Ovis aries: one gene and its partner. Each later gene encodes a partner of the first gene's protein in a complex. Links are inferred from orthologs where the notes say so. Each region holds a gene or a part of one and is shown on either strand. Other genes may lie near its edges.

What was found.
Region 2: the proteins of PFN2 (region 1) and VASP are in contact, whole or in part, in a crystal structure (PDB 2V8C), measured with the Mus musculus proteins. The link is inferred for Ovis aries from reciprocal best matches to the Homo sapiens genes PFN2 and VASP. Residues at the interface, in NP_062283.1 of Mus musculus: Gly3, Trp4, Ser6, Tyr7, Asn10, Cys13, Tyr30, Trp32, Met131, Tyr134, Ser138, Phe140; in NP_033525.2 of Mus musculus: Gly165, Pro166, Pro167, Pro168, Pro169, Pro170, Gly171, Pro172, Pro173, Pro174, Pro175, Pro176.

The regions. Positions count from the first base shown.
Region 1 is NC_056054.1:238,933,108-238,937,518, forward strand, and holds the start of PFN2 (profilin-2), read left to right. Parts: upstream 1-1,401; 5' UTR 1,402-1,433; coding exon 1,434-1,565; intron 1,566-3,682; coding exon 3,683-3,979; 3' UTR 3,980-4,411. UniProt on the Homo sapiens protein: Binds to actin and affects the structure of the cytoskeleton. At high concentrations, profilin prevents the polymerization of actin, whereas it enhances it at low concentrations. By binding to PIP2, it inhibits the formation of IP3 and DG.
Region 2 is NC_056067.1:52,890,485-52,895,067, forward strand, and holds the start of VASP (vasodilator-stimulated phosphoprotein), read left to right. Parts: upstream 1-1,607; 5' UTR 1,608-1,902; coding exon 1,903-1,907; intron 1,908-4,583. UniProt on the Homo sapiens protein: Ena/VASP proteins are actin-associated proteins involved in a range of processes dependent on cytoskeleton remodeling and cell polarity such as axon guidance, lamellipodial and filopodial dynamics, platelet activation and cell migration.

The DNA of each region.
Region 1 (4,411 bases):
CTGTGGAATCCTCCTTGTCACTAATTGTGACCTTACATGATAACTTTAAAATTGAAAATCAACTTTTTCAAAAACGCTTTGAGACGCTCTCTTCCCTTCACTGACAGATCGTTTAGTTCATTTAAAATCGAAATTGTGGGAAGTCTCCTAATCCTTTGCATAGTCATAACGCCCAGCGGTTACTAAAGACCACGCAATATTCACAGGGACTCTACCCATGTTTTACCACCTAAATACAAGCCATTCTCCGATCTGGGTCCCGAAATTAGTTTAGCTTTTGAGAGTAGAAATACTAACATGTTCATACAACGAACCCGTTCTTAGATTTTTAAATTCTTTATATATTCAGATTTCTTCGACCCACCAGTAATATTCCGTTACCAACCAATAGTTTTACATTGCTAGCTATTTGTTTCCTTCGGAATTTACGAGCAATTTAGCCGCTTTAAGACAGGGGAAGAGAGGATCTTCCTATCAAGGAACCCACACAATGAGAGGCCTTTGGTACCCAAATGAAGCAACAATGAAAGACCAGCAAAGCTCAGAAATGTTCCTGAAAGCCAAGAATGCCACTCTGATTTCAGATTGCTGGAGTGCGCCCGCCTGGTAGCCTTTGTGGCCGAGAGGTCCAGAGAAGAGGGTCCCACTGAGGATGCCTAAGATGACAGTGGCCGACTCTGCTACCCGCCCGCCGGGACCACAAAGAGGAGTTAACGCTCCGCATCCCGTCACCAGGGCAACTCTGCAATCCGACACCGAGGCGCAAGATTCCGCATCCCGAGCCGCCGGCCGCAGGACCGAGGCGTTTCACAGCCCGGACGCGGGGACTCCGAGGCTCCCCAGACGCCGCCGTCCCAGGGGTACTGAGTGCAACTCGAGAGACGCCCTCTCCGTAGGCCCGGGGTCCGAGGCTCAGCCACCCTCAACCACCCGCCTCACTCAGACCTCGCCGGCCGCACGTGGCGCCGTGATTGCCCCGGGCAGTATCCCTCCGCGGCCGCGCCCCCGCTCAGTCTCCCCCTCCCTTCTCGGGACCCTCAGAGTCAGGGCGCCGCGGAAGGATCGCACGCACGCGCGCGCGCACGCCCCGCCGGAACGGCGGAGAGCTAAGGGAGCCACAGTGAGGAGTAGTCTCCAGCGCCGTCGCCGGCACTGCCGCTCCGCAGCCTGCCGCCGCTAGTTAATCAGCCCCGCGGTCGCGGGCGGGAGGGCGGCCGGGCCGGGCGCGCTCCGCGGCTTGTCCCTCACCGCCGTCCCCGCGTCCTCCCTCCGCAGCTCCTCGGGGAGGGGGGCGGTCGGTGCTTGCGCAGAGCCGCCTCCTCTCCGCCCCCGCCCCGCCTCCCCCCGCGCCGCCGCCGCCCGCGACCGCCGCCGTCGCCGCCGCTGCGCCTGCTGCTCCTTGCCGTCCCCGCTGCAGTGCGAAGGGCTCGAAGATGGCCGGTTGGCAGAGCTACGTGGATAACCTGATGTGCGATGGCTGCTGCCAGGAGGCCGCCATTGTCGGCTACTGCGACGCCAAATACGTCTGGGCAGCCACGGCCGGGGGCGTCTTCCAGAGCATTACGGTGAGGACCGGCGGGGACCTGGGTACCCGGCCCCGGACCCATGCGGGGCCGGCCGTGGGGGCGCCGCAGCGCGGGGCCGGACTCGGGCAGGGCCGCGCCGGCAGGTGTGAGGAGCGGCGGGCGCCGAGGATGCGGCTACCGGGCGGGCGGAGAGGCCGAGGCCCGGGGACGCCCCCTCGCAGGGGCTGCGCTGAGTGGCGGGGGCGGCGGCCGGGCTCGCCGGCGTTCCCACAGCTTGTCCGGATGAGGCTGGGGGAGGGGGTACGCACCGGTTCGTGGGTGGGGGGCCTTTTCCCTTTTCTCGCCCCCGCCCTGGGGTCCCCTGGAAGCCCTGAGGTTTGCTTTGTACATTCCCGGGTGGAAGCGGGGACCGGAGGAGCCGGGCTGGGGCGCGGGTCCTCGGGTGGTCTAGCCGCCCCTAGCTCCTCCGGTGACGGCGCGCCGCCCGCGCCGCGAGCTGTGGGAGGCGGCGGCTGCCCGGCCCCCAGGATCCTCGCGGCCACTTGGCGTAGATTTGCCGGTGTCCAGGCCTCTTGGGCTTGCGAGAAATGAACGCAGACAACGTAGGTGGATTCGTGAATCTCTGGCTCCATAGGATTTTTTTTTTTTTTTTAATTCTCCAAGATGGCGATCTGCCATTGATTTCTTTCCTATGGAGATTCATCGATATACCGTTATCCCCAGTTACGCAACAGAGTTCTAAAAAAAGGGGGTGCTTGGGGCTTTCAATAATCTGCGAAGACCGAGGGGATGTTCAGTTCTCCAAGTCCCTCCCTCTTTAGTGATCTTCGTAAGGGAACTAATGCAGATTAATGCTTCCCGGTGCCTGATTTTCTTGTGACTTGGTGGTTTGACTCGGTTGCCACATGTTTGGGGAATAACTGTCAATAAGCCCTCCAGTGCTGCTTTATTGTTTTGCCTCTTTCTGCACAAGGGTCTAAAATGGTGACATTATATCAAATACAGGACCATTCTCTTAATTTCCTACGCTTCACGCCCCCTTCCTATCAAATGCCAAAATTCAGGCCCCTTTACTATGGGTGCTACTAATTATTCTTGTACTGCTTAACATGTTTAAGGTCTAACTGTGTAGAACTCCTGATCCAGGTACTTTCCGGCTCTCTGTTGCCGCAGTGGACTACAAATCTTACAGAGAATTGCCGTCTGGCGATCAACTTTTTTCCTGCAGTCCTCTTGTCTTTGTGTGTGAGTTCCCGCTGTTTGGCTGGGAAGATTGCGGGAGTGTGCTTGGAAATGGCTGGGGCCTGCTATGACTCTGCAGTTCTGATGGGGGCGACGCCTTCCTTCTTATTCATGGAATGTTAGAATGCACGTTTTCTCCTTTCCGGTTCTGGTCGCTACCTCAGTTTCTTTCCCACTCTCCCTCCATTTTCTCTGTTCTTTTATGGTTGCTTATTGCAGCGCTACAGACAGAATCCTCTTTGCATTTGCCCAGAAAGAAAACTGATTACTTAGGAGGGAGGGGAAGGAAAGTTGGAGAGGGAGTAGCAGCGAAAATAAAAGAGGAGGGAAATATGAATTTGGGGATGCGCTGAGATTCAGGGCTTGAAGTTCATACTAGGGGGGTATGTCAAGCTATTTGAAGCAGAGTAGATGTAACCAGATCTGCCAAGCATGGGCTTTGTTCCAGGAGACTTTCAAACAACTTTAAGTTTGATATGACAAGACTGTTACGTGATTGTGATAGGTAAGATTTTGTTGAAAGTTTCTGGGTGAATCTTTACCATTACATAAGCACTTCGGGTACCACCTGACTTGAAACAAGTTTATAAATAACTCTTAAGTTTGTAGTTTATCTAGTGTCATCTACTAACTGGAGATTCTTTGCATAGACTGGGCTTAGTTAACAGACCACTCTCTTAACTGTGAAATCTAACTGATATAAAATGTCATCCCGTTTAAGATTAAGTTATTTTTTAGAAATGACTGAAACTTGGTTTTACATTAATGAAATGTGGATGTCTTGTAGTGGTAGTACAAACTTGACACTTTTCCTGTTATACCAGGACAAGAAATTAACTAAAACTTTTTGTTTTGTTTTCTCTCTCTCTCTCTCTTTTTTTTTTTTTTTTTTTTGTGGTTGGGGGCGGGGGCAGCCAGTAGAAATAGATATGATTGTAGGAAAAGACCGGGAAGGTTTCTTTACCAATGGTTTGACTCTTGGTGCAAAGAAGTGCTCAGTGATCAGAGATAGCCTATACGTGGATGGTGACTGCACAATGGACATCCGGACAAAGAGTCAAGGTGGGGAGCCAACATACAACGTTGCCGTCGGCAGAGCTGGTAGAGGTGAGTACAGTACCCTTTTGGTTAATAGTTGCAAGTCACATTACAACTTATTCAGCAGTTTCTTTAACATTTTGAATAAAGTGTTAGTCCATAATGGCTATTAAGGTGGTTTTTGTGAACTGCCGAGCACTGAAGGAGGCACTGCTTTAGATTCATTTGCTCTACAGCAGCTGCATATACAGCCTCACCTCTGAGATCCTGACTTTATGCTGAAAATAGAATATTAATATCAGTTCTTCAGTTCCAGCTTTAGTAAACTGAAAGTCTAAATTTGTCTCTTCTGTATGTATAACTGAACCACTTTACACTTGAAATTAAGTTAATCAACTATAATATAAAGTAAAAAGTTAAAAAATAAAATCACTTTGTTCCTCAACTGCTAATTATTCAGATTGTTAAATCATTCAAATTGGTTATTTTAGTCCCTCTGGATTTTTGACTTTTGAATGTCTTCCTTTTCTTTCTTGCTCACATTTTAGTCATTCACTATTCAGCATAAAAAATGAAAAATTTCTATTGGCTTCCATTTCTATCAG
Region 2 (4,583 bases), on another chromosome or scaffold:
ATAGTGCAAGTGGCACACAGAAACACCACTTTCCCATTTCACCGATGGGAAAGCTGAGACCCAGAGAGGAGAAAGGACTTGCCCATGGTCACAAAGAACCGGGGTTTTCAAGTCTGTCCCCAAACGACTCACAGCCTGAGACACACAGAGAGATAATTATAACCTACAGTGGATCAGGGTTTAAGGCTTTCCACTGTAGGGTAGGGGAGAAGGAAATGGCAACCCACTCCAGTATTCTTGCCTAGAGAATCCTATGGACGGAGGAGCCTTGGTGGGCTGCCATCTATGGGGTCCTACAGAGTCGGACACGACTGAAGCGACGTAGCAGCAGCAGTGTGGGGTAGAGAAGGGGAGAGGATTACTCAGTTCTTCAGAGAAGAATTAATATCAGAGACTGGCCTAGAAGAATGAGATAGAGATCAGGGTATCGTCCAGGCAGCAGGCTCCTTTAGGAAAAAGGTAGGAAGCTTGATTCCCTCATCAAGTCAGCTAGGCCCTGAGAATTGTTTTACTCTCATTAACCACTGGAGTCCTGGTGGCTCAGGCAAGAGGGCTCTAGCCCAGGTTTATTCCCTGCCTCTAGGCCTCAGTTTATCCATTTCTAAACTTCCAACTGATTTCCCAGACTCCTGCCCCCCAGGCCAGGTGGCGCTCTACAGGAGGGGCGTGGTCATATAGCTGGCGTCACGTGGGGGTGGAGTCTGCGGGTCCCGGTGCGGAAGCCGGGGAGGGTGTAGGGACTCAGCCTGAACCTGGCGCGTGGGGGAGGGGTCTCGCAGGAGTCGGCAGAGGGAGGGTCCCCCAACTCCGTGCCCTCGGATTGCTGCATGATCCCACCATCCTCCGCACGCGAAACTGAGTCACGGCGGGGCGTGCGTGGGTAGGGGGCCAGGAGCCTTATTCAGACAGGGATCGGGAGTCCCATTCCCACCCAGGTCCACTGCTGCACCACCCCCCCACCTCGCCCCACACACACACCCTGCGGTTGTGAGTCAGCGGCCGGCCGCGCCCACTTCCTCCTCACCTTCCCTGGGCGGGCGGGGGTGGGGGGCAACGAGAGAGGTGGGCCCCCTCCCCACCCATCCCCCTCCTCGGCGAGGGAGGTGGATCACCCCTTAGTGACCCCTCATAAATTGGGGAAGGAGGGAGACCTTGGGGTGGGGATGGGGGCGTCCCGAAGGTAGGATTTAAGGGAGAAAATCGGAGAAAATCTATTCTTGACCCGAGGGCCCTCCTCACCCCCCAAACTGAGTAGAATGTAAAGAAATGAAAAAAAGTCCATGAGGAGGTTGAGAAGAAATTGTACCCCACTGATATTCCCCTAAGAATTTCCATCGTGGGAGAGAACTCAGGATTAAGGAAGGATCCCTTCCTCTCTATCAAGCTTCCCCTCTAATTTGGGGGTGACCCCCAGAGTGCATCGCTGTGCAAAAATGTTGGGGAAGAGGGACATAGCGGAAGTCGAAGGTTCCGCGTTGCCCTTTTAAGCGCCCTCCACCAACTCCTCCCCAACCCCACCGCCTTAAGGTGTCCGCGGCCCCTTTAAGGCGCAGGGCATTGTGGGTGCGGGGAGTGGAATTTTGGAACGAAATGTAGCAAAGAGAAGTACAGTAGTAAGAGTAACATTGTAGCTGCTGCCGGCCGAGGGGGCGCGCCGGAGAGGGGACGCCGCACCCTCTTTCTGCCGCACGGACCCCTCGAGCAGAACCCCAGAGGGACGAGGCGCCCGAGGACCCGCCCCGGCCCTGTCCACGTTCCCCCCCAGGAAGCCGGACTCTATGGGGCGGGACCCTGGGGGAGACTGAGCAGAACCTAGAGCCAGCGCTGAATCTCTGAACCCCGAGCCAGGGGCGCCCCGGGAGCACCTAGCCCGTGGGCGCTCCGCCCGCCCGCCGAGCAGCCATGAGGTGAGCCTCCAACTGCCTCCAGACCGTTCCCTGGCCGGCGCGGGTTCCTGCCGCCCTGCCTTTGTCCCCTCCTCCCCCCAGCTTGGTCCCGGTTGGAATTTGGGGACTGGGCACTGGGAGCCTCGGATTTGAGGCCGAGCCCCCTTGGACAAGCTCCAAACACTGACCACTTCCCCTTGACTCTCAAGGCTTGGGTGATGCCGTGAGATTCTCCTGGGAGCCCTTAGGTTTGGGGGCGCTCCGAGGACTCCCGAAATTTTTAAGACTTTTCAGAGAACCTCCAAGTTGGCAAATAATCTCCGCAGAGAAGCTAGAGGTTAGGCAGGACTCAGACTGCCCCCAAATCTCAACCTGGCCCTGAGAGGGATTATGGGGGGCCTGCTTGGGAGTCCCCTGGGACCTGGAAGAGAGATTGAGACGTAGAGCTTGGTTTTCGGGGTCCCTCTATACATGGCGCTGGAAATTCTTCCCACGAGGGACTTTGCTCATTAACTTCGGGGGTACTTAACCCCTAAATTTGGGCGGTTCATCCCCCTGTGAAGGAGGTTGATGTGGACGGATCCAGGGACCCAGACGCAGCCTGGAGGGTCTGGTTGGGACTCCCGTTCCTCGCCGCTCCCCACCCACAATGTGCTTAAAACAGGCTGTGCCTAGGAGGGAGCGAGCGCTCTGTGCCGAGGGCGCCTCCCCGGCCCCGGACCGAAGGGCGGCCCCTCTCGCCCACCTGCGCGGCCCTGGAGAGGGAGGGGGCGCGGCAGCTGGGGGAAGGGGGGCCTTTGTCTAACTGACTCACCTGTCGAGACAGCTGGTGTGTGTGTGGGGGGCGGGGGGGCGGGCTGAGAGCGCCGTAGGCCGGCTGCTTTCCCCACCACCGTACCTCCCCCTCCTCTCAACACCGCCCCCCCTTACCCAGCCGTCCGGAGTTGTGCGGTTGGAGGAGGGGGGCGTTGGAAAACCTCAAGGTCATAGCCCTCTCCCCCTGGGACTCAAGCTTCCCAGAGAGTTCCAGCTATCTTCCCAGGAATTTAATCCTGGGTGGGGGGCCCAAGGGATCCAGGGATTTTGTTTTTCCCGGAGCCTCCCTCAAAACTCCTGGGCTCACCTGAGGGCGGAGCCGGTGCGGACTGGGGGACCCGACTGGCCCTCCCCCTCATTCTCCCATCCTCCCCGGCCCCCCATAATCTCTCCCTTGAGGCCTGAGCCTGACAATACTATCTCCCTTCCTCTACTCTCTCAGAGACTTCCTGCTCCAAAGCCCCCAGCTTGAGGGGGAGGCCCCTGGGGGGCCGCTGGGGATTAAGCCCCTGGGGCCCACATCCTCTCTCATCCGCCACATTCCCTGCCCTTTGACATCTGGGTGGCATTCCTTTTTGTGGTCGTTAGAGAATCCCCCCCTCCCACATTTGTTCCTTCTGCTGAAAAGGGATTGTTGGAGAATTTGGAGCGATGGGGGCACCCACAGACACCCACAAGACTTCCTGCCTACCCTTTCCCCCATTATAGCAACATCTCTAAAAGGTCTGCCCGGGAGATAGGGCAGTTTTGGGGAGCCAGCCCTCTTCCTTCACCTTCTTCCCGGGGGATTCTCCTCTCCCACTGCCCCCCCAGCCCCGCCCCTTGCGCGCTCCCCCCCCCCCCCCGTTTCCGGTCCCAGGCACGGTGGAAGGCGGATGGCGGATGTCCGAGTTAGTGCTGCCTCACTCACCGAGACCGTAAAAGGGCAGGAGCAATGTCTGGGCCAGCCTCCTGCCCCCGCCTCCCCCAGTCCCAGAGGCCCTGGCCCTCCCACAAGGCCCCCTGCTACTTCGAGCCATGACCAAACCTCCTGTATCTCCTGGGGGGTGGGCAGAAGTTAGCTGATGCCTGTCCCACCAGAGGGTTACTCCCATCTCCTGAAGGGTCTTCCCTGCTGATGGCCACACTGGCCTTGGGCTGTGCCCCTTCTCCCAGGACAGCTAGGATTCAGAATGACCCATGGCCCTGTCTAGTGGCTGCTGGGGAAACTGAGGGAGGCTCAAAGAGAGAAAAGCCTGGCCCAAGATACCTCAGAAATTTCTAAGCAGTGTTGAGGGATGGGAGGGCACTGGGATCCTCTGATTTCTGGCTGGTTAGGCTGGAGACAGTCTTGGGGACAGTTGGAAGAGAGGCTGTTAAGATGGAAAATTACAGTTCTTTTTTTTTTTTCTCAGTTTGACAAATATTTGTTGAGTGTCTGCTGTGTCCAGGACTCTGAGCTGGAATTCTGGGAAGTGGGGCAGAGATCTGAGACTCTTAGTGTAGAGGAGACTCTAGAAGAATTTGGTTCATTTATTATTGTTTTTAATAATGAGAGACCATTTGATTAAGCAACTCGTTTGTGCCAGGCACTGTACCAGGTGCCTGATTCAAATTAATCCTCATGGCAATTCTAAGAGATTGATACTATTATGATCGTCCCCCTTTCCCAGATGGGAAAATTGAGGCACCGGGGAATTAAGCAGATTACCTATTAAAGTCAGTTTGGAAGTAGGCAAGTCTGAATAGGAACCCAGGCCTATTATACTCTTAAAGAAAAGCAAAATCAAGCCTTTAGTGGCCTTAGAAAAAAACAAGTAACCTGTTTTTACTGTACAGACACTGAAGATAATGCTGATAAGCAAGAAGGAACCCAGTTACCTTCCTGTTCACTTATGGGGA